7 linked regions of the Rattus norvegicus genome follow. The protein of the gene in region 6 interacts with the protein of the main gene of each other region in a pairwise test. Links are inferred from orthologs where the notes say so. Each region holds a gene or a part of one and is shown on either strand. Other genes may lie near its edges. The genes, in order: Top3b, Ehhadh, Chd2, Gpatch2l, Fra10ac1, Trim41 and Zbtb48.

Region 1 (2,437 bases), on a different chromosome or scaffold from region 6:
TGATGGAAAGAACTGACTCCTATACATACGCACGGATGCATGCAAGCACACACACACACACACACACACACACACACACACACACACACACACACACACACTCACACACGGTAAATGTAAAGCCCCAGTATGTTACTAATACTCATGACAGCAGGAGAGTGAATGGTGGCGAAAGTGAATAGACTGTATATATGGCCTGGTGGTTTATGTTGTTTACTGGTGCTGATTCAGGCCTTTTAATCATTATATGTGACAATGAACATTATTTCTGCTTGACTAATGACAAGAGGCTTAGGGTGATATCTGAACAGAAATGCTCTGGCTAGGTGTGCTATGGTCTTTCAACCTCCACATACCTGGATATACTTCATAAATCGATGGCACTTCCCACAGCGCGAGAGGGGCTTGCCAGTGGCAGCCAGGGGTGAAAAGGATACCTCCATTAACTCGTCCATGCCTGAGAGCAAGCAGAGCACAGGGGTCATGTCCCTCCGGGTCTTTGGCAGCCCCCCTCCAACAGGCAGCTTGGTAAAACTGGGTGAACTAGACAAAGAGGCCAGCACACATGGTCAAGGATCCAAGTGCGACTGTGTTTCTGTCAGTGATGGAGTGCAGAGCCAAAGCCCTGCTCACCAGCTTTGTATGTTCCTGATGCTGATATTAATTAACCTGCTCCTGGCAACAGCAAATGAGGAGGCATCACTGCTGTGACCGGTAGAGGCTCAGAGCCCAGATCTGGGGCAGGCCTCAGGTAGCTCTGTCCTGTGGGAGTAGCTGCTGATGAGGGGCAGGGAAGAGGCAGGTCTTACCAGCAATAGAATCAACAAAGTAGTGGAACTTTCTCTTGAAGATATCCAGGGTGTGGCCCAGCACCTGGTGGTAGTTGGCTTTGCCCTGGGCAATAAGGTTCAGCTGCTTCTCCACTGCGCTGCGGATGGTGGGGAGCACCAGCTCTGCATCTGTGAACAAGTGGGTGGAGTGGCTGTGGGCACCCAGGACTCTGCCGCCCCACGAGGCAGGCAAGAACTGCTGTCCTGCTCAACCTAGCTCTGACCCAGTCTTCCTGGGCTGCTGGTCCACAGAGTTGGAAGGCACCAAGGGCAGTTCCTATTGCTACCAGACTTTTCCTCAACTTCCCATCAGGAAAGTTTGTGTAGAAATCTTTTGCAGAATGGCCAGGTCCATGATGTACTTCTCTATCTCCCATAGAGCACAAGGCACTTTAGTGGGCAGAGTTGGCAGGTATCTTAGTGAAGAACCCAAGGTTTGTACCCTGGGACCCATTACAATGTGTTCATCCATCAAATGCCTGAGTCCCACAGCAGTGGGGATTGGGGAATGCATGAGAGCACGGGGTCACGGCAGGAGGCAGCAGAGCACAGGAAGGAGCAGGAAACCCCGCAGGCCACGGCAGTGGGTAGACAGACTCACCAATCTTGTGGTAGCCGTGCACCAGAACTATGTCGAGGTTGGCAGTGGGTAGACAGACTCACCAATCTTGTGGTAGCCGTGCACCAGAACTATGCCGAGGTTGGCAGTGGGTAGACAGACTCACCAATCTTGTGGTAGCCGTGCACCAGAACTATGTCGAGGTTGGCAGTGGGTAGACAGACTCACCAATCTTGTGGTAGCCGTGCACCAGAACTATGCCGAGGTTGGTGGGCTTGAGCCGGCGGCCGTTCTCCACTGTGACGTAGTTGCGCTGGCAGATGTTGTTGATGTGCACAGGGATACTGGCATCCGTCCCTGGAATGCACAGCACTGCTCAGTACTCTGCAGTTTGCCCAAGGAGATGGTCTGGACTATGCCCTCTAGTGCCTTCCACCCGTCACAGAATCCCTCCTCGACACCCATAAGGGGCAGGGCCACAAAGTGAAGCCTGTTTGCTCATTAGGTCCAGACTGCTACTTCCTGTATGGCTGCCAGAAGCCATGATGTAGAAACATGTCCAAGATAGAGCAGGGCTGTGTCTGCACTGTGCTGGGGCATACCTGTGAACCCAAGGACAGCCTTCACCAGTGTTTAAGCTTTAGTTAAAAGACAGAAGCCCAGAGAGGGCATCCTCTGAAGCCAGTAAACAGGAGTTGGCCTTTTCTATCCAGAAACTGTGTCTTGTGGCCCTCTAGACATCAGGATCCAGCTTCTACCAGAGAGCTCACAAAGCTACTGTAGAACCAAGCTGGTTTCACCCATCTCTCTGACTTTCTCCCACTCTCTAGACCCCTCACACACCCAAAGCAAGCATGTTCCCACCCCAGGGACGCAGTTTCTTTCACCCTGTACAAGTTTCCTGGCAGAGATGGAAAAGTGAAGGGGATGCATCTGCTGTGTGATGTCAGGGGTGTAAAAAGGAACTCAGCAATGCATACACACGTGGAGTGGTGGCCGGAGAATGTTTTCCCTGGGTACCTGGGCAGGGTTTCCTGGGGGAGATACT
Region 2 (4,119 bases), on a different chromosome or scaffold from region 6:
GAAAGAGTGGGAGGGAGAGATGGAGAAAGGGAGGGGAGAAAATTAAGGTTAAAAACAAGGATGCTAAGCCATTAAAATGGGATGAACGACTTACCTAAAATTAAAGTTCAGAGAAACACATGGGGAAGCGCATGGTCTAAGAGAAGAAAAAAATCTCCACAAAGCTGAAGCAGATGTTCAGAAGGGGGGCTACTACAGGGGACTGACCACAGGCTGCTCAAGGAGGCCTTGCAAGTGTGGAATAATTTATAATCTCCGTTTCATTTAACTTAAGCGTTCTCCCAACTGGGGAGGGACCCAGCAGGCTAAGAAACACACCGGCTGGCACCAGAAGGAATAGTTGTGAGACTGTGGGATATCTCCCTCCTTACCGCTTGATGGACATAGTGCCTCGTGAAGAGCATTCAATAGAATCCCTTATCAAGTAATCCTGTCAGTCCATGAGCCCCCATGTGGATACAGAATCATATTGCTTATGCTTTCTTTGTGAAAACACATGTGGTCACCACTTCCTGGTTTCTGAGCTGAATGAAATTGGAGTGACCAGTAGTTTGCTTCCGCCCCACCCCCCCAAAGTGGCCAGTAATTTCTGCGTATTATGTATTAATCAATGCTATCCTTCACATTAAAGTAAGTACAGGTTAAGCCAAGGGTAGTAGCACACACCTTTAATCCCAATATTTGGGAGGCAGAGGCAGGTGGCTCTCGGCAAGTTCAAGGCCACCCTAGTTCACATAGTTAGTCTAGGTCAGCCAGAACTGCAAAGTAAGACCCTGTTTCAAAACAAACAAAAAAACCAAACAACACCAGAGCATGTGATACACAGATATACCTGCAGGTAAAAGACCCATACACATAAAATAATAATAATTTTCAAGCTTAAAAAATAAAATGTGGCCTGGAGAGATGGCTCAGCGGTTAAGAGCACTGACTGCTCTTCCAGAGGTCCTGAGTTCAATTCCCAGCCACGTGGTGGCTCACAACCATCTGTAATGGGATCTGATGCCCTCTTCTGGTGTGTCTGAAGACAGCTACAGTGTACCCATAAAATAAATAAACAGATCTTTAAAAAATAAGATCAAATAACAGTGTGGTTTAAATCTTAGTTAAAATTAACATGACTCCTCTTTTATGTTGTTTGTTTGTTTGTTTGTTTGTTCTGAGACGGGGTCTGACTAGATCAACGGTTCTACTGCAGCCTCCTGAGTGCTGCGATTCCACGAATGTGCCAACCTGGCATCTGTTTGGTTTTGCTCCGGCAGCCTGCGGTGGGAATTTTCAGCAAATGGCCCATTTTTGCTTTATTTATTCTGCTGCTGTGCAGTTACTTCCTTGGGACTGAAGCATTCTTTCCTGGAAGGGGCGAAAGGCTAAGACCGGGAAGCTAAAGACACTAACAAGGTACTGGGAGCTAAACACATTGTCTGATGTTCAGGATGCTCAGGAAGCTCAGAAACGTGCAAGGTGCATAAGGCCCCTCGCCCAGGTTACAGGAGCAGAAGCAATTGTAAGGAGTCCCATGAGTCATTGTGTTGCGGTTGGCTTCCAGGGGTTCCATTGTTTTAGAAGTAACTATATTCTTGTAACTAACTTCAGTAAAGTCACTAGTCTACTGAGCTAGACTTAGGAGGAATCATTTATCTGGCCTCTCGCAAACGCCCTCTCTCTGGTGAATGGCTAGCTGTTCTCATCCGTTGTACGGGACAATTCTCCCAGTCAAATCGCTGCAAGTTTGGTGAGTTTGTTTGCCAAAGATCATTGTTGGTAGTTGATTGTCATGGAAGGGGGGGACCAGAACACTACCAGACTATCCAGCCACCCCTCCTTGCCCTGATCGTACCCTCGGGTCGCTGGAGAGGACTAGAGGATATAGGCAGAGAAGGATTAGGGGAGGGGGCTCTTAGCAGCCACCGGGAATCATGATCTTTGCTGCGGAGGCTGCTTCCAATGTGGGAGCTCTAAGGTCACTGGGGCTTCTTCCCCTTCCCCCATACCACCCTGTTCTGCAAGTTAGCCTAAGCCCATTGCACTGGTCCCCTGCAGAGTGAACAGGGCTAGAACGGCACCCAGGTTTGTCCGTTAGGCTGTAAGGTGTCACCTAGGAAAAGGGTTTTAGCAAGGTCTCACCAGTCAAAATTATACAGTCTCCGTCACAATCCTGTCTACTACTTCTGCAATGTATGGGTTATATATGGGTTTTAATTATATTAGCCTCCTCCTGGGGCTAATATAGAATTATATTCTATTCGCGGTGATAAAAAATGAACAGGGTAAATGAACATCATTTTTCAAAAAGACAACAGATCTCATTTTTAACGGTAATGTGCTAAGAGCGTTGCACAGGAGGGTATCGCAGGTGAAGTAAACTTCAGCCTTTCAGAAAATACTATTCAGTAGGCCTCCTCTGACAAGGAGAGTTGACACGCACAGGAACCAAACTCTGCTTTTCTACAAGTCAGTTAACTATAGGTTTTGGCCTCACAGAGACGCTGGGGTTGCAAGCCAGCACGAGGGTTGCAGGAAGGGGGTTCAGACAGCCACTTGCTGCACCAGACTCACCTCTGTGGGTTCCAGACACGCCAGAACCAGACGTAAACACGCCGTGAGGTCACCAGCGGACAGACGGACAGCTGCCCATTGGCCCGTGCTTCCAGCGGAGACAAGCCCCCACCCAGACCCGCCACACCCCGCGGTCCCGGGGTTACCTGACGGCGTTGACTGGCGGGTTGCAGAGGCGGATCATCGCCAGGGAGTGGGGCAGCCTCAGATACTCAGCCATTTTCTCAAGGTATCCTGCACCTCTGACGTCTGGGGCAGCCCAGGGCTCCTTTTCTGGGCGGCCCCAAGAGGAGGGGCGCGCGCTGGGCCAATGGGAACCGCTGCTACTGCCTCCTGCCCCTTGCACTTCGTGCTCTGCCGGGCCGGCTGCGCTCCAAGGAGGGTGATCCTCTTCCTCTAGTAAAGGGATTGTCCAAAGGCAAGCTGAGCTGCTGGATCACACCACCGGAGTCAACCACTTGTTCACAAAGCAGTCATTTGCCAGGGCACAGAAGGCCCTGCCTTCTCTGGTTCTGTCCCTTCTAAAGGCTGGGATTTTTCACAGTTCGTCCAGGAACTGCACACATATTATGGGCTGAATGTAGGCTGGGTATGACAACAAACCATGCCTTGTCTCTTCCCTCTAAAAGCTCAGCTGGGACACGGTCCTTCCAGCTGCGTATGGCTTCTCATGTTTGCCAAAGTCCACCAAGTAGCCAGATGACAGTGTTGACAAGTGTGCAGGTTGACAAGTAAAGGCGTCCTTGTAAATCTTCGCTGATGTTTGCACGTTTTAACAATGTCTAAATATTATTTCCGGGTGCGTTACTTCTTGAAACTAAGAAAGGTTCTGGCTAGTAGAAAAACGCTGAGTCCCGGGAAGCATCGAGCATCAGTCAGACTCATTCCAACAATCGTAGCCCACGTGTCAAGGAGAGCCAGCCACTCAAGTGTGCCCTCAGATGGCAGCGATGACAACAGCCTTGTAGCAAGCAGCTACTTACAAGCGACAGGAATCTCTGTCTGCTGCCTCTAAAACCATGGCTAGTCCCCAAACTCTCCTAGTGTGTTCGGTTGGCAGAAGTCTTCACAGCCAGCCCAGGTCTCGCTTCCTATAAGAAGCATTAACCTCAGCTTTACCTCCCTTCAGATACTGGTGTCTAGGAGATACTGGTGTGCCAGCATCTAGGAACCTGAGCAGGTAGCGTTCAAGGTTTAATAGCACTGAGTAGCCTTATTACATCCCACCCCCTTGGAGCAAGGGGGCGATAATAAGCACATCTCCATGTGGCCATCGGGTCTGCACTTTTATTTTAGTTGAGCACAGAACTTTCTGTGGTGTCTCCCACAGTCAGCTCTTGGTGCAAGCTTCTGGATGAATCCATTAAACTTCTTGGCTGTTTAGAGTCGGCACCTCAGTGGGAGCAGAATCAGCAAAAGGCAAGTGAGGCATTTAGGGGACAAAGTTCGAAGGGCAGCTCCTATCAGGCTTAGCCAGTGCTGATGCTTCCTGCTCCTCCACAACCCAGCCACACACAATCCTAACAATTAGTCCCTCTGTGAGTGTCCCAAAACAGAAAT
Region 3 (3,500 bases), on a different chromosome or scaffold from region 6:
AAACTATGTTTGGGAAATACAAAGTAGCCTATATGGCAGTTAATTAGAGATCTAGTCTGACCGTAGTCTGTAAACATTATTACAGGCCAGTGAGTGGCTAAAGGGGAAAGCCATGTGCCATAAAGCCTAACTATTTAAAGACAGTCCCCAGCATCAGGGAGTAGGGAAGTAGGATTCTCTCTTCTCAGTAATGCAAGTATATAAGTACACACAGGTCACATTCAATGTAAGCAAACTTTTTTTAAAAATTAATAAATAAAAATAGTACCACAATGTCCACCTTAGCCCAAGATTTTGAGTTTCCCTCAGTACCAGAACTGTGGGGCTGCCAAGGACCCTCACAACTCTGATATTTGTTGGTTGTTTATGACTTTATGCTTCTCCTGGGTACTGCAGTTCATCTGGGTCCTTCCCAAGCTAAACCCCATTGCCATCTGTTCAGCTTAAGCCCTCAGCGGCTTGCTCTCTTTGGCAGGGGACTCCTCCTGTTTCCCTGTAGACACCAGCTCTCCTTCCTGTTTTCAAAGCCCAACTCCCTCTTGGAGGACTGACTTGGCCCAGACTAGTTTTGGAAGGCTCTTGGTGGGTCTCTCCTTCTTTTCTGACTCTTTTTTTTTTTTTTAAGATTTGTTTATTTTATGTATGTGAGTACACTGTAGCTGTCTTCAGAAGACAGAATAGGAGCCACTACAGATGGTCATGAGCCACCATGTGATTGCTGGGAATTGAACTCAGGACCTCTGGAAGAGCAGTCAATGCTCTCAACCATTGAGCCATGTCTCCCACTATCTTTTCTGACCCTTTAACCCAGAAACATGTGCACGATTTAACTGCAGCTGTTCACCATGTCTCCCGAGGTACACAAATGTCCGTATACTTGCTTATAAAGTAGAAGCAGCACAAGACAAAGCCAAGCGAAGGCAAGAGCTGGCAGCTGGACTCACTTCAGGAGCTATGGCTGGTTGATAATCCTTGTCAAGTGGAGCTTAAGACACATAGACCTGAAGGTGTTTGTACTCTTGTTCCTGTGCCTGGAGAGACACAGCTACGAGAAAGCAGATCAACCCTTCCTGCTCTCAGCTAGACTCACGCTACTGGGACTGTATTGCAGCCAAGTTTCTGCGCCTAATGAATTGGTTTGCATGTATATGTGCTTGACTGGTGAACCAGAGTATTAAAAATATTTACTACTAGAAATAGTATTAGCTAATAATAGTAGCTACAAAAACAAGGCATTTAATTTACCAAAATCATAAACAGATGACTTTTAGTTAAAGGCCAATTTGGGGAGCATACTGAGTCCTAGGGCAAGCCAGAACTACACTGAGAAACTACCTCAAACAAACAAAACATGCTAATGAAGGACTACGTAGCAAATACTGTGCAACTCTGAACAAACCTCATGCTATCTTTGCTCCTAAGCACCACCAATTATAAAATAAAAGGGCTAGCCCACACAATCTCTTTAGTGTCGTCTAAGTTCTTAGTTCCCAGTACCCATGCGACAGCTCACAAGCAGGTCCAAGATATCAATGCCCTCCTTCTGGCCTCTTTAGGTACATGGTACACAAGTGGTACACAGACATACAAACAGGAAAATACCCATACACTTAAATAAAAATGTTTTTAAAACTGTGTGCGGGAAAAGTCTGCTGTCAGCAGTGAAGGAAGCTCTGACATGAGGTATCACATAATGAATGACAGAGGAATCACGCCTCCCTTGAATCACTCAAACCCTCCAAGCCGAAATTGCCTACACTTAGCTCTTAGGATAATAATAAGCCAAACACAACAGAGAAAATCTAACCATATTCTCTACCTACTTGCACCAGGAGTGAGCAAGCCAGTTGAGACCCTCCAGCTGATAGTCTCGGAGCTCCAGATTCTCTCCTCCTAAGTATGCTGGTTGCTTCTTCAAAGCTACAAACCGTGGTCTTTGCTTTAGTGCCTGGGAAACAAAAATTAACAAAGCATAAGTCTTAGAACATTTTTGCTTGATCTTAAACTACAATACTAGTCATAATTCAGGTATGAACTGTCGCCTCACCTCACCCTTCCTATTCTGTTCCCAGAGTTGATCCTAAAATAAAGTATTTTTAAATATATTCTTTTTCTGACATAAATCTGTGAACATTAATTTGCTCTTAATTTGTTCATCCTTTACTGTGTGACACTCAGAGTTACCTTGATGTTGTCACCTTTTCTAAAGAATACAGCAAACTCTGGAAGTCTTATTAAGTGTATGACATGAATGTATTGCTGGCATGTATGTATGTGCAGCACATGTGGGCTTAGTACCTGAGGTGATCAGAAGAGAGTGGCGGGTCCCCTGGAACTGCACCCTGGTACTAGACAGTCATGAGCTGCTATGTGGGCATTGGGAACGGAAGCTCAGTCTTCTGCAAAAGCAACAACTGTCCTTAAGTACAAAGCCTACCCCTCAGGCTCCAGGACACTGTCTCATTCGTTATTAAGCACAACAACAGTTTCTAAGAGGTGGAGGAAATGTAAGCACTGGCTGTTTTCCTCAGGAAACCTCTTCCAGTGCCCACTGGAGCCACATCTCCACCTCTGTTCTATGCTGACCATGGCCTCTGCACCACAATCCTGAGCAGCAGTCACACCCTGTCTTCCACAGACGGGAAGGAGTTCATGTTAGTAACATGAACTTCCACTTCTCTAAGATACAGGCCAAGGAACCAGGAATATTTCTAGACTTCAGCAAATTCCATGAGAAGACTTGTACAATCAATCGAACAATAAAAAGCTTGTATATTCAGTTTCTAATTTAAAATTCAGAGACATCTTTCCTGTCTGTTTTAAAGTATCTAGTTTCAAATATTTCTCACAATATAGCTAATTACAAAGTATCAAATTATAGAAACCAGCAAAAAAGTGTGTGTGTGTGTGTGTGTGTGTGTGTGTGTGTGTGTGTGTGTGTGTGTTACTGAAGTAGACCACATGCATACAGGATGCTCCAGGTGAGAAGATGGCACTGAATCTCTGAGAACAGGAGTCACAGGCAGCTGCAAACCACAACCTAGGTGCTGTGAACTTAATTCAGGTCTTCTCCAAGAGCAGTGAGCATTCTTCATCTCTGAACCCTCTCTCCAGCCTCTCATCCTCTACTTTCGCTTTCTTTCTTTTTCCTTTGAGACAAGTCATGTATAAACCAGGGTGGCCTTGAACTCACTACACGGCCAAGGACGACCTTTAATCTCTTGATTCCTCTGCCTCCACCTCCTGAAGCATGGGATTACAGGCATGCCCAGTGATGTTCAGTTTTGTCTGGTGCTAAGCAATCAAACTCAAGGACTGCACATGCAGGCACACTCTACTCTCTGGGCAAATTCAACAGCCCATGCCATAATTATTTATATTTAATGTAACTTTTAATCATCATTGACTCTTGTTGTATTTTTACTTCTACATATGTGCCCAACTAACCCTTTGGTTACCACACTTTTCCACAAAAACAATATAAAAGTAGGCTGGGGATG
Region 4 (4,156 bases), on a different chromosome or scaffold from region 6:
CTAATAAGCCAAAAGTTATGATTATCATACTTATGCTCTGTTATCACAGTGTTGTGAAATTCCACCCATCCACCTCCCCTTATCTTGCTCAGAACCAGTCAGCTTAAAGGTTATCTGATAATGCAGTACTTAGTAAGCCAACTGCTCCTCTCCTTGCTTTTTAAACTTTTGAACTTAGTTCTGACTCTGATACCACAGTCCTTTTTTGGGGCCTGAACATCCAGTATTGCTTAACTGAAACCAGTGTTTGTTTTGAGTGGCGATTCCTGAACCCAACACAAACCAAGCTGGGGAGGAAAGGGTTTATTTGGTTTATACTTTCACAGAATTGTTCATCATTAGCAGAAATCAGGATAGGAACTCAAATAGAGCAGGAACATGGAGGCAGGAGCTGGTGCAGAGGCCGTGGAGTGATGCTACTTACAGGCTTGCTCCTCATGGCTTGTTTAGCTTGCTTTCTTACAGAACCCAGGACCACCAGCCCAGAGATGGCAGCATCTACAATGGGCTGGGCCCTCCCCCACCAATCACTAATTAAGAAATGTCCTACAGACTTGCCTGCAGCCCTATCTAATGGATTCATTTTCTTAATGAACTTAATGAACAAGGAACTCCCTCAATATAGAAAGACATTCCATACATTCTGTGTGTGACATATACAATGCCCTTAACAGTTTTGAGGAATACTGGTGAAGTGTTCTGTAGGCTAGTTCTTAACCATACGTGGTGTAATTTCTTTCGTTTGCTTTTTCGAGACAGGGTTTCTCTGTGTAGTCCTGGTTGTCCTGGAACAAACTCTTTAGACCAGGCTAGCTAGCTTCTCCAGTATAAAGTGACCCCTTTGATATTGCATTATTCAGAGAGAAGCTGCTGTGCACAGTTCAAAATGCTCCAAGAGAGCCTATGTCTTCTACAGGAAATGTATTTCTACGGGAAATGTATCTCTTTTCCACTTACAGAATATGGAATATCAATAACCACTCAATATGGAGTTAATATTTCTTTAATGCTTTGAGTTATAATACAGTATGATTTGCTTTTTGCTCAAGCCATGTACACTTTTAATGTCATGAGTAACTTAATGTGAAGGCAGACGACCCACTTCTTAAGGTCAGCACCCTTAGGGAGAGGTTTTGTCTCATTCAGTCCTAAGGGTATCCTCACCCCATACTAGCCCATCTGTCCTGACTTGCCTCCAGGCACTACTTCCTAGTTTCCCAGAGGCCCCGCCCACCGTGGAGCGGAAGTAGGCGCACCGTAGGGCGGAAGTGCAGGGCGGGCGCCTGTCCTTTCTTGTAGCCCGCCCCCTCCCTTACCATTTCAGCCCCACCTCTTAGGCCCAGACCGGAAATGAGGTCAGAGAGGGAAACCCAGGCTGGGAGCTACGGCCCCGAAGGCGGCGCCGGGTGCAAGCGACTGCGGCAGCCGGTGAGGAGCAGGATGGCGGCGGCTGGGCCAATGCCGGGCGGGATAAGGGCTCCGGGTTGCGTCAGGGCGACCGACGGCGCCGCTGGGCTGTGGCGAGTGACAGAGGGTGGCGGGGCCTGGCTACCCTAGGTGCGTCTTCTCAGCCTGGGCTCTGAGGGACGGCCGCCTCCGTGGGAATGTCCCTTAGATGGGCGACAGCGAGAACTCAGGCTTGGTGTCCCGGGCAAGGGTTTCCCTAGCCCCCGAGGACGGGCTGGAAATGGAAGAGAGTCCTTCAAAACGCGGCTTTTTTTCATATCCGTGGTGGTGCTGTGATACCTCTCTCCCCAGCATCAACAGAGGGAATGCAGTCATTAGGACAAGATTTGAGACAGTTTCTGCCCTAGACAGCTGACCTCCAGTCTCAGGTGAACTCAAATAAGAAGTTGACTTCTGTCTACCCCACCTCTCGTTACTCTGACTGGGAGAGTAGCTCGCTGCTTTGCGGCCCACCAGCGTCCTGTGACTCAGACCAGGGTCTCCAGGGTGTACTCTTGAGAGTGAGGCTGGAGGTGTGGGTGTACCAGGGTACCTTTGAGACGCGGAAGAATTCTATGTCAGCTTCTGATGACACGTTGTTTAGTATACTTGTCCCACGTTAAAGTTTGTGCAGTTCTGCCTGAGTTTCAAAGCTGTAATTCTTTATTAGAGACTTAGGCGTGTTGTTCCCACTTGTTTATCAGCTTCGGGCTTAGGGACAGTTGTCTTCCAAACCGCAGTCCTGGCATTTTAAACTACTACCGGTTGCTAAAGGGAAATGGTCTTTTATGTGTAAGGCTTTTGACCCTTTGAGGAAGTTGCCGTGGTGGTTTTGGAGCAAGGTGGCTCTATTGCTCTCACAAGTGTGACACATAATCCAGAAGACTTTTCCTGCTTTTGAATTTGTTGACATAGGGACCCTGTGAGATTAATTTTTAGAAAGCCCCTTGCAAAAAGTAAATTGCATGAAGGGAAATACGGTCTGAGTTCAGCTTTAAGCTCCAATTATGGGCAAGATGTATTTTGAGCTTACCAAGAGCTGGAAAGAAAGTGCTATTTTAGCATACAAAATTTAGGTGTTGTGCAGATGATATTAGACATTTCTTTTTGAAAACCGAAAATTTGAAAATTGCCTCTGCTAGGCATGCCTGGAAAGGGTTGCTTCTGTTAGCCAGGTATCTTAGAGATTTTATGCTGTCCCTCCATTTTGGTTTCATTTATGTCCCAGATTTTGTGTGATTGGCACTAAGCACATAATTGGGGTGACTCAACACTATACTACTAGTACTGTTAGTGTTTCTATTACTACTACTGCTGCCACCACCAGGATGAGGGGTCTAAAAGTCCTACACTGCTGCTCCTGCTACTACTAATATAACAACAACAATACAACAATGCTAGCAACATCAAATCAGTGTCATACTCCACAGCAGTTTGTTTCTAATAACTTTCAGGTGGCAGTTGGTACCATGGTAGTACCAGACGTGGGCTTCCTTTTTTTTCCCCCATTCTGAGTACCTACTTGGGTCACCGAAAGTTCTGGGACTATGAATATCGTGAAGTCTTCTTCATAGGTGCCACTCAGCTCTTTCTCTCCTCCCTACCGCAACCTTTTTAGCAGAAATCCCAGACCTCAGTGTGACCCTCTATCGTGATTGGTTCATGCCTGGTGCTCTCTTGGCTCTACCGTAATGATGAAGTTGTGTGGTTTGCTTTTCTTCTCCAGTGATTAGGCAATCAAGGGATCACTTAATTGGAGAAAGGAGGAAGCTCAATTTGTTTATTTTTGCTAATGTCCTAGTTGTCATCTGGCAAGCTACTGGATATGTTGATTTCCAGTACTCGCCAATGGCCAGACACCTGCTTTTTGTGGTACGTGGATGGTAGAAACGGTAGCTGATGAAAGAAGTCTATTTTCTGTAGCCAGCCAGGGAGCCCAATAGCATTATGTGCTTTATAAGCTTTCTGGAAAAGCAGCAGGTCTTTTAAAGCATCTCTTCTGCTTTTATTTGGCAGATGTGGCCTCATGGATGAGCTGGTGCATGACTTAGCCTCAGCCTTGGAGCAGACATCTGAGCAGAGTAAGCTTGGTGAGCTGTGGGAGGAGATGGCCCTGAGCCCCAGACAGCAGAGGCGGCAGCTTCGGAAGCGCCGAGGCCGGAAGCGCCGTTCCGACTTTACTCACCTGGCTGAGCACGCCTGCTGCTTCAGCGAGGCCTCTGAGTCAAGTCTGGATGAGGCCACCAAGGACTGTCGAGAAGTGGCTCCGCTCACCAACTTCAGTGACTCTGATGACACAGTGGTGGCCAAACGGCACCCAGCTCTCAGTGCCATCGTTAGGGGTAAGCAGCACTCTTGGCATGAATCTGACTCCTTTACGGAAAATGCGCCTTGTCGACCCCTCAGGCGCCGGCGGAAGGTGAAGAGAGTGGCATCCGAGGTGGCTGCCAGCCTTCAGCAGAAGCTGAAAGTGTCAGATTGGAGCTATGAGAGAGGCTGCAGGTTCAAGTCTGCCAAGAAGCAGCGTTTATCCCGATGGAAGGAGAATACTCCCTGGACCTCATCTGGCCATGGGCTGTGTGAATCAGCAGAAAGTCGGACTTTCCTAAGCAAAACAGGAAGGAAAGAAAGGATGGAGTGCGAAGCAGAGGGACAGAAACACGGCTCCGACGAGAACATGTCCGAAAGGTGAGCTCTCCCTCCGTAAAGC
Region 5 (3,500 bases), on a different chromosome or scaffold from region 6:
CACAGAGGTTAAGCAGTCAAAATGATATTCCAAAGTTCAAGATAACAGATTCAAATCAGTGCCATGAAAGAATAATGTGGGTCATGGTAGTTAATAAGAATCAATGCTATAGTTGAACAAGAGCTCTAGCCATAAATATTCATAGGGCATACCTTATTTTCTTTGTATCTACTGAGATCTGCTATGCAATATTCCTTGAATAATTTATCATAGTATTTCTTTGCAAGTCTCTTCTCCCTAAATCCATAAAAAGTATGTATTATACATTCAGAAATCCAACCATAGTTTGCTACTTGGAAAAAATATCAAATAGATGATGTATATATGATATAAATATTAATGCTCAAAGAGGCCTAATACAGACAAATATGACGACTGTCTGGAGATGAACTGTTGCGGCTCTCAGAGAATGAGCTGGAGAATTACTCTTCATTTATTATCCTCAGTGATGTCTGACCTTGAAAACCACTTTCATGTATTTTACTTTCCCAAATTATTCAAAGCATTTTATAAGGAACACATAATAGCTTATTATAAGACAACAGACAATAGCATAATTATTTTGGAAGACTAGGTCAAACAATTACAATTGAAATTAAAATTGCCAAAGATTACAAACCAGAATCAAGAGTCCTAAATGTAGATTTCTCTTCTTGATTCAGAAACTGTCCACGAAAGAGCAGAACACCCTGATAAATGATGATTAAGACAACATGTATTGGGACTGCAGAGAGGGCTCAGTGGTTAAGAGCATGTGTTGTACTTCAAAAGACCTTAGTTCAGTTCCCAGCACCCATGCTAAGCTGCTCACAACCTCTTATAATTCTAGATCTGGACAATCGGATGGCTTCCTCTGGCCTCTATGGGTTCCCACAAACATATGTGTATAAAGGCATGCACCTGCTCACACAGAGACACACATACACACACACACACATAATAAAAGAGAAAACAGAGTAAGAAAGATAAGACTATAACACTTGTTCCATTAGATTCTAATGGCAAAAATCGCCAAGCCTTCAGACTGGCAAGCCAGTCTAATTAGGAAAGGCTCTGCCACGAATCCTGATGATCTGAGTTTAAGCCTGAGAAGCACATGGTGAAAGAACTCTTCCCAGTTGTCCTCTGCCCTACACACACACACACACACACACACACACACACACACACACACTAGAGTAAAATTACCAAGTCATGTCTGCTTCATCCTCCTCATTCCATAGGAATCTGTGATTTTCTCGTATAACATCCAGATCTGTCTTATCATTCTCCCTAGAAAATAAAAACTTTAATTTAGCATAAAAATAAAACTAGACAGATTTAGGCTAAACAGTGATGAAATTTTTGAAAATTTGAATAAAAATATAAAAAATATACTTTTATTTGGAAATTTTTAAATAAAACAAATATTTCAATATTTTTAGAAAGTACTTAAAAAATGAAAGGAGCGAGTTCTATAGAGAAACAAATCTGACCAACTCTATAGTGGGTTAGTTACACAAATGCGCTTTGCCACCAAAGCAAGGACACAAAAGCTCACATGGACACTGAGTGAGGAAATGTGAATAAAAACAAATTTCAGAACAGAGCTCTCAGTAGGACACAATGTTACATCACTTTACTAGGTTCCTGGAAAGACCGATAAAGGAAGAAAAGTAAAGAGGCCTGGCTTGCAAGCAGAATAAATAAACATTTGAGCGGTGTGGGCTCAGTGGACAGGGAAGATAAAAGTGGGGTGACTGAGGCAGTGTTAACGTCTTTAGGACTACCTACTCAGATGTCAAGTCAGAGAGAGTCCATGCAAGACTCAGAGCCTCAACAAAGGAAGCATCTTCTTGGATGGGAATCCCGAGTGAAGTTTCCTGATTGCCTTATTTTTTAAATAACACTTTTACTTTTGTGAGATTATAAATATTACATCATTTCCATCCTACCTTTTCTTCCTCCAACTCCTCTCACATACCCTCCCCACTGCTCTCCAATTCATGGCCACATTTTCAATTGTACCATGAAAGCTAGTCCTTAGAAAGGAGGCTTTCAGATCAGAATCATCTCGGGTCATCTGAACCCTGTGTCTAAGTGTCTGGTGTCCTCAGCAGTAGGGACTTCTTGGACCTCTGGAAGAGACCAAGGGCAACAGCAACAGACTGTGTTTGGGGAGTCTTTTGGACACTGCCTTATTTTTGCAAAAGCAATCCTGGACACTACTGTCTAAATGTGTCACTGCTTCAGAGGTCCCATCAACAAGACACAAGAGCAATTCTCACATGTACTGTTATTTCCAACATCATTCTTGTTCAATCATGAGGACACTCCCGAGGCCTGTTGCCAAGTAATTTACAATAGAGGCCTCGAAGATCATCTGCACTTGCCCTATCATCCTCTGTAAACTTCCCAATACTTACCCCAACCGCTTAAAGTCCTCTCTTTTGCCACCATAGTACAAAATATAGTCATTTACAAACTTTGTGTGCCTTTGATACTGAAATGCAAAACATTAAGGATTTTTGTAACTGTTCAGAAGTTGTTCCATTGTAATATATTACTAAATAAAAAGAAAACATGGCATGAGTCTATCTAGCATTTTTAAATGTGCAAATCATGAGGGACACCTGCACAGCAGACTTCCACTTTCTGCTGAAAACATTTCAAGCATGTATTACCTGTAATGTTTGGAACCTTTTTCATGCATGCATTATTCTGTGGTAAAATTGTATAGACTGAGGGGAAAGAGGGAGCTTTCTGTTCTGCTTCTAGACTGCACACAGCTTTATTCTCTCATCCAGTCTAATAATCAAACATGGAAATTGGGGCTTCTAAATTAATGGTAAAAATTAGAATTTATCTTCCATTATTACACAACGTAATAATTAATGATAAAGTATATAAATATAGGATATGTTTATAAAATTAAATCCCACGAACATTAAGGTTTCAAGAACGAAACACAAGCATAAGCAGTCAGGAGGGGAGGTACGCTGGCTCCCACTTCGAATACCAGCATTCAAGAGGCAGAGGCAGGGGGAGCAACTAGAGTTCCTGGCCAGCCTGGGCCTCAGGGTAAGAGAGTGTCTCAAACAGAAAAGAAATCACAGTAATATTTTTTCTTCTCTTTTTAATATTCAGAGAATCCACAAAACCGTATCTATTTTTCATGTGAAATAACAAGATATATGGACATTTAATGTTCACTTAAAAACCTTGGCAGCACTCTCCATACTCAGGCATGGGCAAACTGAGCTGTCTCAGCTTCAGGGATGACCTCCTTCAGACACAGTGATGTTCCTGACACAGTGTATTCTAATAGAGTACTTAATAAGGACATGAAACTAAGGGGGAGGCAGCCCAAACACCTCAAGGTCTGGGTTCAAACTCTCCAACTACCACAAATGGGCATGCTATTTGAACTCTTAATTTTTTCTGTTAGGAGCTAGATGACAAATTTTGCAGGCTTTGCAGTAGTGGTTTCTGCGGTCACTGCTCAGTAGGCTAATGTAACA
Region 6 (4,042 bases):
TGACCTTGAACTGATATTCCTGCTTCCGCTTTCCCAAGTGTTCAGATTAGAGGCTTGCATGCCCATCTTAGGCTGTTTTCTTTCTTTCTTTCTTTCTTTTTTTTGGCTCTTTTTTTCATTGCTGGGGACCGAACCCAGGGCCTTGCGCTTCCTAGGTAAGCGCTCTACCACTGAGCTAAATCCCCCTTAGGCTGTTTTCTATAGATACTCTCACTGACTCTGAACTTCTGCAGTACGGCCTACTGTACGTTTGCAAACCTCCTCGAGTAGCGGACGATCAGCTGTGAAGCCTCAGACTCTAAAGCTCTGTTAATGATGACCACCTAAATAAAGTTACTGATCGAATCACAAATAACAAAGCTCTGGCCTGACAGAGGCTCCACACTCCTAGTTCCTGGCTTCGATTCTGAAGGTAGTTCTGTGTTGGATGTCTCATAGATAAATGTCCTTCACATATGTCCAAAGGATCAGAGAAATAACCAGACAGTTAACCAAATGAAATTACACTCCAAGAACAGTCAAGTCAGAAAGTCAAACTAAATATCCAAGTAGGATGTAGGCCCCAAAGGGAGGACGTTCACATCAAAGTCTATCACTAAGGCTGTACAGCATATAAACTCCATGTTCAGAACTTAAACCTGTTTCCCAATCAATAAAATGAGAATAGCAAACATCAAACTCACAGTGTCTTTGAATTATAAATGATAATCTATAAAAAGTGGCCAGCACAGTTCTGACTATATGTAAGGTGTCCTGTGAATATTAACTAATATGCCTGTGGTAATGAAAGTTCAAAGACACTCTCAAACTTGAGCAAGATGTTTTGCCCTAAGAGCCTCTCTCTTTTCTGGTTAATACATGAGACTGGGTGCGGAGAAAAGCCAACAAAGCCATATCCTAGGAGAGGTGTGGAAACCATTGAGAGACAAGTGGTTTTTGTTTTTTTTTTAATCTGACACTTGGCTATTTCTATGCTCCTGTTTCAGGCCCTTCACTTGTTCTTTAGGTCTCCATTTCTTGCAATCTTAAGTCTTACCCATGTCAGATTCATCCAGAAGAAAACAGTACTGGCAGTGAAGCACTCCCTGTCACTAGTCCCCCTATCCTTAAGCCACAAAGGAAATTAGAGGATCCTTCTCATTTACCCACCTTGAAGTCAGTGCTTAGACAGGGAGAATCAGTTTTCAATGACAAGGTCCTGTTAGGAGAACCCACATCCCGTCCCCAATTCTCTTTACCTCCTTCCCATCCTAACTACATCTGCCTCCTCTCTTTTACTCACCTTGTACTCCTGCACTACCTCCTCCAATGGCACCACACTATGCTGTTTGTGGCTCCTGGATTCGCGGCACACCACACAGATGGCTTCTTCATCCACCTCACAGAACAGCTTCAGGGCTTCTTGGTGTCTGGGACAGATGCCTTGTTCATTCACACGACTCCCTCGACCAGGGGTTGGATGCATCTGCCGAATCACCTGGACCATGTTGGCCAACTGCAGGTTGGGGCGGAAGCTCCGCCGAGGAAAACTTTTTCGACACTGGGGACAAGTGAAGCACCTCCGAGGGGCTGGAGGTGGTGGCAGTTGGGTGATCGGGTCCAGCTCCTCTTCCTCGTCTTCCTCCAGGACTTCCTCCTCCTCATCCTCATCTTCCACCCTCAGGTCCTCCACATCCCCCAAGTAATAGTCCAGTTCTTCCTCCTCCTCCTCCTCCTCCCACACATAGTCCATGTTGTCCCAGTTAGACCCGCCTATACCACTACTCCAGAACACACCTTCCTCTTCCTCCTCGGCCTCCTCCTCCATGTCACCCTCATAATCTTCATCGCGCATAGGGGTGTCCCAACCCCCGCCTGCCCCGACAGCCTCCACTTCTTCCTCCTCTCCGACCTCCTCCTCCTCCTCCCGATCCAACTCATCTCTGTCTTCTTCATCCTCCCCGCCCCACAACTGGGTTACACACACTCGGCAGAAGTTGTGCCCGCAGCCGATGGACACGGGGTCCGTGAAGTAATCGAGGCAGATGGCGCACACCGCCTCCTCCTGAAGGGTCTGCACAGGGTTGGGTGTCATGGCAACGGCAGCCATCTTAGTGTCCAGTCAGCCAGTGTAGAAGTGCGGTGGGGGGAGCGGGGGGGTGGGGCGGGGGGGTCTCCCGTCTCTGAAGCCCAGAAGACCCGTCCCCACCCCAAGCCCAGCCTCTCCACACCTTGCCTGCGGCGAGGCAAAGGAATGTCCTCCGACCAGCCCGCCCCTCCACACACAGTCCCCTACCCCGAGACGACAACCTTGTCTCACAGAAGGGAGGGGACAGAGGTGAGTACCACCGACAAGTACCTCAGGTGGACCTGAGTGCAAATCTGCCCCAACGCTCCCCTGGCCTCCTCATAAACCCCCGCCCCTCCTCACTTCCTGGCCCCGCCCCCCAGCTTCCGGCCTCCCTCCCAACGCTTCCGGCGTCTCCACACGACCTGAACTCACGAGTTCCCTTCGAGGGTGTGTTACGCCCCCTTCTCCCACGCCCAGCCCCGGAGCGACAGGAAACGAGGAGGAGACGCTCTAGCTGACACGCGGGAACAGGACGGGAGGGCTAGGACGGCGGAGGCCCACATCTCGGTGATGACTGGCCGCGAAGAACGCGTACAGAGCGGAAGAAGCCCCCATGCCCTGCCAGCGGGGACAGACGGCGGAGGGTAGCGAGGACGTTGAGCAGCGCCCTGTTCTCCGTGCTACAATCGCAGCGGCCTAGCGCCATCCTACCGACCAGGCACGGACGACTGCAGAAGGGACTCCCAGGACCAGAGCCGGAAGCTGAGGGGCGGGTCCGCTCAGCGTCCTCCAATGTTTCCGGCCCCTCTAGACCCAAAACTTGTTCGTTTGAGACTCCGGGGGTCCCTCCAAATAGGATCTTGGGCGGAGCCTGACGGCATATGATGAGCCTGGAGTTAGAGGGGCTCCGCCCTCCTTCTGTGCTGGGCATTTTCGTGTCCGTTTTAGGAACTGCAACATTGCCGGCGAACTACAGCACTCCTATAAACCCAGCACTTGAGAGGGTGAGGCAGGAGAATTGTGACAAGTTCCAGGTTTATCTAACCTGAACTGCAAAGTGAGACCCTGTCCCAGACAACAACCAGCAACCAGTCAAAACAAACAAAAAACAAAACAAAAACCCTGTCAACTGGTCACTTCTCCCATTACTTATTATTAATATCCACGTTCATATTAAATGGAACACTGTTCAGCTATATAAAAGGAATCTTCGGAATAAATTAAGTAAAAAGTGCAGATTGCTGAACACTGGAGTATATAGGAGGGCAAGTAATGTTAAGTGTATTTGGTACTTTGAATGTCTACACAAAGTAAATATGTAGTAATATAAAATAAATCATACAAAGTAAACCATAGTTGCTACCTCACAGAATTTCGTGAGGATTTTGAGGTGTTGAAGTTAGCTACTCTACCATATTCTCGTCTGTGGAGGGAAGAAGACAGTAGAATTTCTCTAGGAAGGCTGGCCAGTCAGTAAAGACACTTTTCCGATTACGTAGTTCTTTGTATATCCTTTGGAACAAGTCCGTGTGTTCTCTTTAGAAATATCTTCCAAGCGTAATGGGGTTATTCCAATTTTAATACTTTCTGTGGGCCGTGCACACCTTTCATGTCGTTCATCCGAAATGCTTTTGAGATTTGTATTCCTGAGAATTTCAGTCTAAGGGGAAGAGGCGTCCCGAATTGTGTTGTGGAACTTATTTGTGAGAGAATCCTATCCCTGTGGTCCCCAAAGCATTTCTCTTGCAGCTTTTTTTTTTTTTTAATCTCGTTTTTGTTAGTCTGGGGGTCATAAATAATTGATGCACCATATCCTCTGAGCGCAGATTTAGTTGGGTACCGTGACCTCAGAACACCTCTAATTGAACGTACTAAGATCATGAACCTTAGTGGGGCAAATCTGGTTTTAGGAAGTGGACGCAAGCCTGTCCGATTGTAGCTTTAGGAGCTTGCCGAGCAGCGCTGTAAACAGTGCGGTTTCCGTAGTGTAGT
Region 7 (4,279 bases), on a different chromosome or scaffold from region 6:
CTTTGTTGTTTTGAAACAGTCCTAAGACTAGGTATGGTGGTGCACATCTTTAATAGCAGCACTCAGGAGGCAGATACAGGTAGATCTCTAAGTTCTAGGCCAGCTTGGTCTACACAGTAAGTTCCAAGTCAACTTGGAAAAAGAAGTGGAGAGGAGGCAGGTGGTAGTGGCACAACCTTTGATCCCAGCTCCGGAGGCAAAGGCAGGCTGATCTCCGTGATTTTGAGGCCACCCTGGTCTACAGAGTGTTCCAGGACAGCCAGGGTTACACAGAGAAACCTGGTCTCAAAAAACAAACAAGCAAACATATTAAAAGCCCTACAAAGGGGGTTGGGAATTTAGCTCAGTGGTAGAGTGCTTGCCTAGCAAGCGCAAGGCCCTGGGTTTGGTCCCCAGCTCCAAAAAAAAAGAAAAAAGAAAAAAGAAAAAAAAAAAAAAAAGCCCTACAAAGCTAACGAGAGGAACAAACCTCCAAGCCCTCCAGGGTCCCTGCTAGACAAACGGTCCCTCATACATAACTGACACACAGAGCTAGACAAATGGCCCCTCATACATAACTGACACGCAGAGCTAGCACTCTCAGAGACACAGGCAGCCTCCGACCTTCCTTAAGATCAGCCTCTTGTCACAGCCTACACTGCCTATCAGACCTCAGCTCCAGCTTGGGAAGGGGCCAGAGGCTTGTCTCATGCTTCATGTGGGCAGAGGCCTGCCCATGGTCAGTCAAACTCCACAATGGGTAGAATCTACTGACCGGGTGTCCACAAACCCATAATTCACAGGAAGACAGGAAGAGGGGGCAGGTGACCAGGCACTATTAGGGCCTGACATAGAACCCCCAGCACCACAGAGCCCAGAGCAGGGGAGTACAGGGCCCCTTCCCACAACGTGGAGGGGCGGATAGGGAAAGAAAATAGAGAGAAACAGAGCATTTACCTGTTGTGGACTTTTAGGTAGTATTTGCTGAGGAACTTCTTATGACATGTGGGACATTCGACCGGAACTGCTGCACCTTTTCTGCCCTCGGTGGGCTCGGCTGTGAGGGAGCCTGCACCCAGGGCTGGCTCTGCCGCACACGGCTTTCTAATCACTTTTGACTTCCTCCTGGTCAGCACAGTCTCAGGCTCAGATGCATAATCGCCATCACCATCCCTGTCGTCCTCAACTTGAACCACCACTTCCCACTAGAGTAGAGGAGGCAGCAGGAGGGGATAGGGTCACCCAGGTATCAGCAGGGACCTGCCTTTAACTCCAACATAAGCCCCACCCCCTGGACAGTCCCTTCAGCAGAGACCCTTTCCCTCCGGGTCCAGAGAAAATGGCAATGTTGGACTTGGAGCACAATGGCTGTGTTAGCAGCCAGGTTGACTAACCTAAGGAAATACCCGTAACCCTGATGCTCACTCCACCCCAAGGAAGCTGGCAACCATGGACAAGTGTAGCTCGCAGGAGGTCAGCTGAGACCACTGGCTTCCTATGTCTGCTCCAGAAGTGCCGGTCTTTACCCTTATGCCTGCCTCCCCAGCTCAGCACCCTGGAAACAGTACCTCATTGCTCTCGCCCTGCAGTGGGGCACCTTCAGCTTCAAAAGGCCTTGGGGGCTCTTTGCTGTCCTCAGACTCTTTGTCCGCTGGGGGAGAAGGCTTCAACACCTGCTTGAGTTTCCCACAGAGGAAGGCCGGGCTGCTCTGGGCAGGTGTGCTGAGCTGGGGCTGCTCACCGTCTCTGGGCTCCTGATCCACAGAGGCCAGGCTCAGAGTCCTGAAAACTTCCTCCTCATCCAAGTCTGTTGGCTCCTTGAGGTGGCTTTTCACATCCTGGGAGGAAACTTGGCCCGGTCCACTCTGTGCCTGTCCCGCTGAGGTTTGGGGCTGGAAGCTCTGACATAGCTCCACAGCCTCAGGCACCCTCAACTCTTTGGCTGCCAAGAGCACCTGATCCCTGTTCCCTGAGGTGAGGGCGAGGTGGCCAGTGTAGAAAAAGTCCAGCAGGAGGCCAAAAATCTCAGCAAAACCTGCAGGGAGGACAACACTGCCCCCTGAGCCATCCCCGTAGATTCTCTGGAAGAAACGGCTGCAACACGCCAGGACACTCCAGTGCGCCTTGAACACCAGGCCCCCCACGTCCAGCGTGGCGTCGCAATACTGGCCCTTCTCACGCTGCTTGTTGAGTTCCTGCAGAACCCTCACGCTGTGCTGTACGAAGGAACCATCCATAATCTGGAAGGGAAGGCAAACATGACACTCTGGCCAGCCCCAATCGGGGAAGCCCTTTTAGACTGAGGGTGAGATGGACACTTTAAACATCCACCCATGTCGGGATGAAGGCCTGGGTCAAGGTTAGAAGGTGCACACGGGGCACACAGCCAGCGTGGAGTGACAGCCTCTTGGGGGCGGGGAGCGGCATGGGTTGGCCAGAGGGGAGAGAGCGGGAGAGGAAGTGCATGGCGCGAGACAGGACTGGGTCCGTCGGGATAGGGTGCTGGTGGGAGAAAATGAAAATGAGAGTTTGGGGGACAGAAAAGCGTGGACGACAACTGATCTGTAGCGCACCCAACGCACAGCCAGAAGGGCAGGGCGGCGGCTGCGCACAGGTGACCCAAGCCCACGCCGCGCCTGCACGTCGCGGACGGCAAGTGGAAGGCGGCGGCCACACTCTCCTCAGAGCCCGAGGCGCCTCCCTCCCGCGCCCTCCTCACCCTGCCGGTCCTCCCGGCTCGCACCGGCCTCACTGCTCCGGGCTAGACCACTTCCACCGCCCACAAGACTAACTACTGCCCGGCCCACAGCGCGGAGACGCCGCCGTCGCCGCGCCGGATGTGACGTATAGGCGCTCAGGCCAGAACCGGACGCCTCGGCGGCGCAAAGTCCTTAGGTCCCGCCTCGAAGGCGGAGCCTCAGAGAAAGGCCAATGGGCAGCATAGAGGGCGGGGCAAGGGGTAAATTCAACTGCGCTGGGTCTCAAGTCCGGAGTTGCCAGGTAACACCAAGCTGTGCCCTAGACTCCCACTCCCGCTTGCTGTGCGGTCCCAAGCTCTCCCCACACCGGAAGAGCAGACAAGAAACCACACACACACACACACACTTCCCGTCTTTATTGCACTGGATTCTTCCGCGTGCTTATACATCGTAAGCTGTGCCGGAGCTCTCCCAGACACCTCAAGCTCTCGGCCCCACTGGACCCGCCACCTTCAGCACAAGAAGAGAGGCTTCCTTCCCGTCTGCACCTTTCCAGTGGATCAGGTAGTGCCGCAGCGCCTCGTGTAGTCCTGGATGGAGGCCTGAAAGTGTTCTGTATTGTTGAGTTCTGGACGGCAGAGAATCACATAGCACTTGGGGAGGAAGTAACCGCTGAAGCCGCCGCTCAGTGTGGTCAGCCCTGCCAGCACATTGACCGCAGGCAGGTAGCTGCCCTGGTAAATGCTGGCCATGGTGAAGAAGGCGATCCAGGATACGAAGTTGAGGAGCAGGCTGAAGGTGACACATTTGGCTTCATTATAGTTCTCTGGCAGTTCCTTACCCAGGTAGCTGCAGACGAAGGTACTGATGGAGAGGAGAATGTTGTGGGTGAAAGCCAACAGGAAGCCTACAGAGTTGACCTCTGTGCACTCGAGAATCACCAGATGGGGGAAGCGCTGGTATTCCCTGGTGGGTCGTGGGGTCCACATTACAAGCCATGTGAGACAGATGAGCAAATGGACCGTGGAGCTGACAATGACGAATAGACCTGCACCATGGTTTTGGGCCCAGGTACGGTAGAATGTGGGCACCTTGGTAGAAAACTTGAAGATGATGACCAGTTGGAAGGAGCGGATTGTCAGGCAGGAGAGGAAGATGGCAAACCCGAGAGAAAAGAGGGGCTGACGCAGCAAGCACGCGGGCACCGTGGGCTCCCCGAAGAAGCTATAGAAGCTGCAACTTCCGGCCACCAGGGAACCCAGCATGAGGAAGCACAGCCTACCCCCAGCTGACCTCACTACAGGTGTGTGAAAATGCCAGGCAAACAGGCCAGCAGTCCCAACCAGCAGCAGCAGCAATAGCGTGTTAGCTGCTATTAGCACCAAAGAGATGGGTTCATGCCAAGCCAAGAACTCCACCGTGCGTGGGAAGCAAGTAGTGCTCTCCTTGGGTGCCCATTCTTCTGTTCCACAAGGCTGGCAGATGTGAAGCTCTGAAAGGGAAGACAAGGTTTCTGAGAGCCAGGTGAGCAGAAGGAAGGGGAAGATGGGGGAAGGGAGGTCCAGGTCCTGCAAGATTCTGGGAGAGTTGCACCTTGGCAG

Evidence for each region.
Region 1: the proteins of Trim41 (region 6) and Top3b interact in binary tests that used the Homo sapiens proteins (3 or more experiments, as listed by UniProt). The two-hybrid records come from large-scale screens. The link is inferred for Rattus norvegicus from reciprocal best matches to the Homo sapiens genes TRIM41 and TOP3B.
Region 2: the proteins of Trim41 (region 6) and Ehhadh interact in binary tests that used the Homo sapiens proteins (3 or more experiments, as listed by UniProt). The two-hybrid records come from large-scale screens. The link is inferred for Rattus norvegicus from reciprocal best matches to the Homo sapiens genes TRIM41 and EHHADH.
Region 3: the proteins of Trim41 (region 6) and Chd2 interact in binary tests that used the Homo sapiens proteins (3 or more experiments, as listed by UniProt). The two-hybrid records come from large-scale screens. The link is inferred for Rattus norvegicus from reciprocal best matches to the Homo sapiens genes TRIM41 and CHD2.
Region 4: the proteins of Trim41 (region 6) and Gpatch2l interact in binary tests that used the Homo sapiens proteins (3 or more experiments, as listed by UniProt). The two-hybrid records come from large-scale screens. The link is inferred for Rattus norvegicus from reciprocal best matches to the Homo sapiens genes TRIM41 and GPATCH2L.
Region 5: the proteins of Trim41 (region 6) and Fra10ac1 interact in binary tests that used the Homo sapiens proteins (3 or more experiments, as listed by UniProt). The two-hybrid records come from large-scale screens. The link is inferred for Rattus norvegicus from reciprocal best matches to the Homo sapiens genes TRIM41 and FRA10AC1.
Region 7: the proteins of Trim41 (region 6) and Zbtb48 interact in binary tests that used the Homo sapiens proteins (3 or more experiments, as listed by UniProt). The two-hybrid records come from large-scale screens. The link is inferred for Rattus norvegicus from reciprocal best matches to the Homo sapiens genes TRIM41 and ZBTB48.

What each region holds. Positions count from the first base shown.
Region 1 is NC_086029.1:97,603,161-97,605,597, forward strand, and holds part of Top3b (DNA topoisomerase 3-beta-1), read right to left. Parts: intron 1,747-2,437; coding exon 1,618-1,746; exon of another isoform or gene 1,432-1,617; intron 960-1,431; coding exon 810-959; intron 458-809; coding exon 357-457; intron 1-356. UniProt on the Homo sapiens protein: Releases the supercoiling and torsional tension of DNA introduced during the DNA replication and transcription by transiently cleaving and rejoining one strand of the DNA duplex.
Region 2 is NC_086029.1:92,745,090-92,749,208, reverse strand, and holds the start of Ehhadh (peroxisomal bifunctional enzyme), read right to left. Parts: upstream 2,801-4,119; 5' UTR 2,780-2,800; coding exon 2,706-2,779; intron 1-2,705. UniProt on the Homo sapiens protein: Peroxisomal trifunctional enzyme possessing 2-enoyl-CoA hydratase, 3-hydroxyacyl-CoA dehydrogenase, and delta 3, delta 2-enoyl-CoA isomerase activities. Catalyzes two of the four reactions of the long chain fatty acids peroxisomal beta-oxidation pathway.
Region 3 is NC_086019.1:136,665,336-136,668,835, forward strand, and holds part of Chd2 (chromodomain-helicase-DNA-binding protein 2), read right to left. Parts: intron 1,949-3,500; coding exon 1,824-1,948; coding exon of another isoform or gene 1,820-1,823; intron 1-1,819. UniProt on the Homo sapiens protein: ATP-dependent chromatin-remodeling factor that specifically binds to the promoter of target genes, leading to chromatin remodeling, possibly by promoting deposition of histone H3.3.
Region 4 is NC_086024.1:111,613,075-111,617,230, forward strand, and holds the start of Gpatch2l (G patch domain-containing protein 2-like), read left to right. Parts: upstream 1-1,356; 5' UTR 1,357-1,428; exon of another isoform or gene 1,429-3,462; 5' UTR 3,463-3,472; coding exon 3,473-4,134; exon of another isoform or gene 4,135-4,156.
Region 5 is NC_086019.1:245,403,384-245,406,883, forward strand, and holds part of Fra10ac1 (protein FRA10AC1 homolog), read right to left. Parts: intron 2,483-3,500; coding exon 2,406-2,482; intron 1,273-2,405; coding exon 1,189-1,272; intron 238-1,188; coding exon 153-237; intron 1-152. UniProt on the Homo sapiens protein: May be involved in pre-mRNA splicing.
Region 6 is NC_086028.1:33,684,633-33,688,674, forward strand, and holds the start of Trim41 (E3 ubiquitin-protein ligase TRIM41), read right to left. Parts: upstream 2,801-4,042; 5' UTR 2,090-2,800; coding exon 1,283-2,089; intron 1-1,282.
Region 7 is NC_086023.1:167,813,487-167,817,765, forward strand, and holds the start of Zbtb48 (telomere zinc finger-associated protein), read right to left. Parts: upstream 2,801-4,279; 5' UTR 2,699-2,800; exon of another isoform or gene 2,553-2,698; intron 2,220-2,552; 5' UTR 2,217-2,219; coding exon 1,548-2,216; intron 1,185-1,547; coding exon 937-1,184; intron 1-936. Other genes in the region: Tas1r1 (taste receptor type 1 member 1 precursor), read right to left, coding at 3,239-4,170. UniProt on the Homo sapiens protein: Plays a critical role in transcriptional regulation and chromatin remodeling. Acts as a regulator of telomere length. Directly binds the telomeric double-stranded 5'-TTAGGG-3' repeat.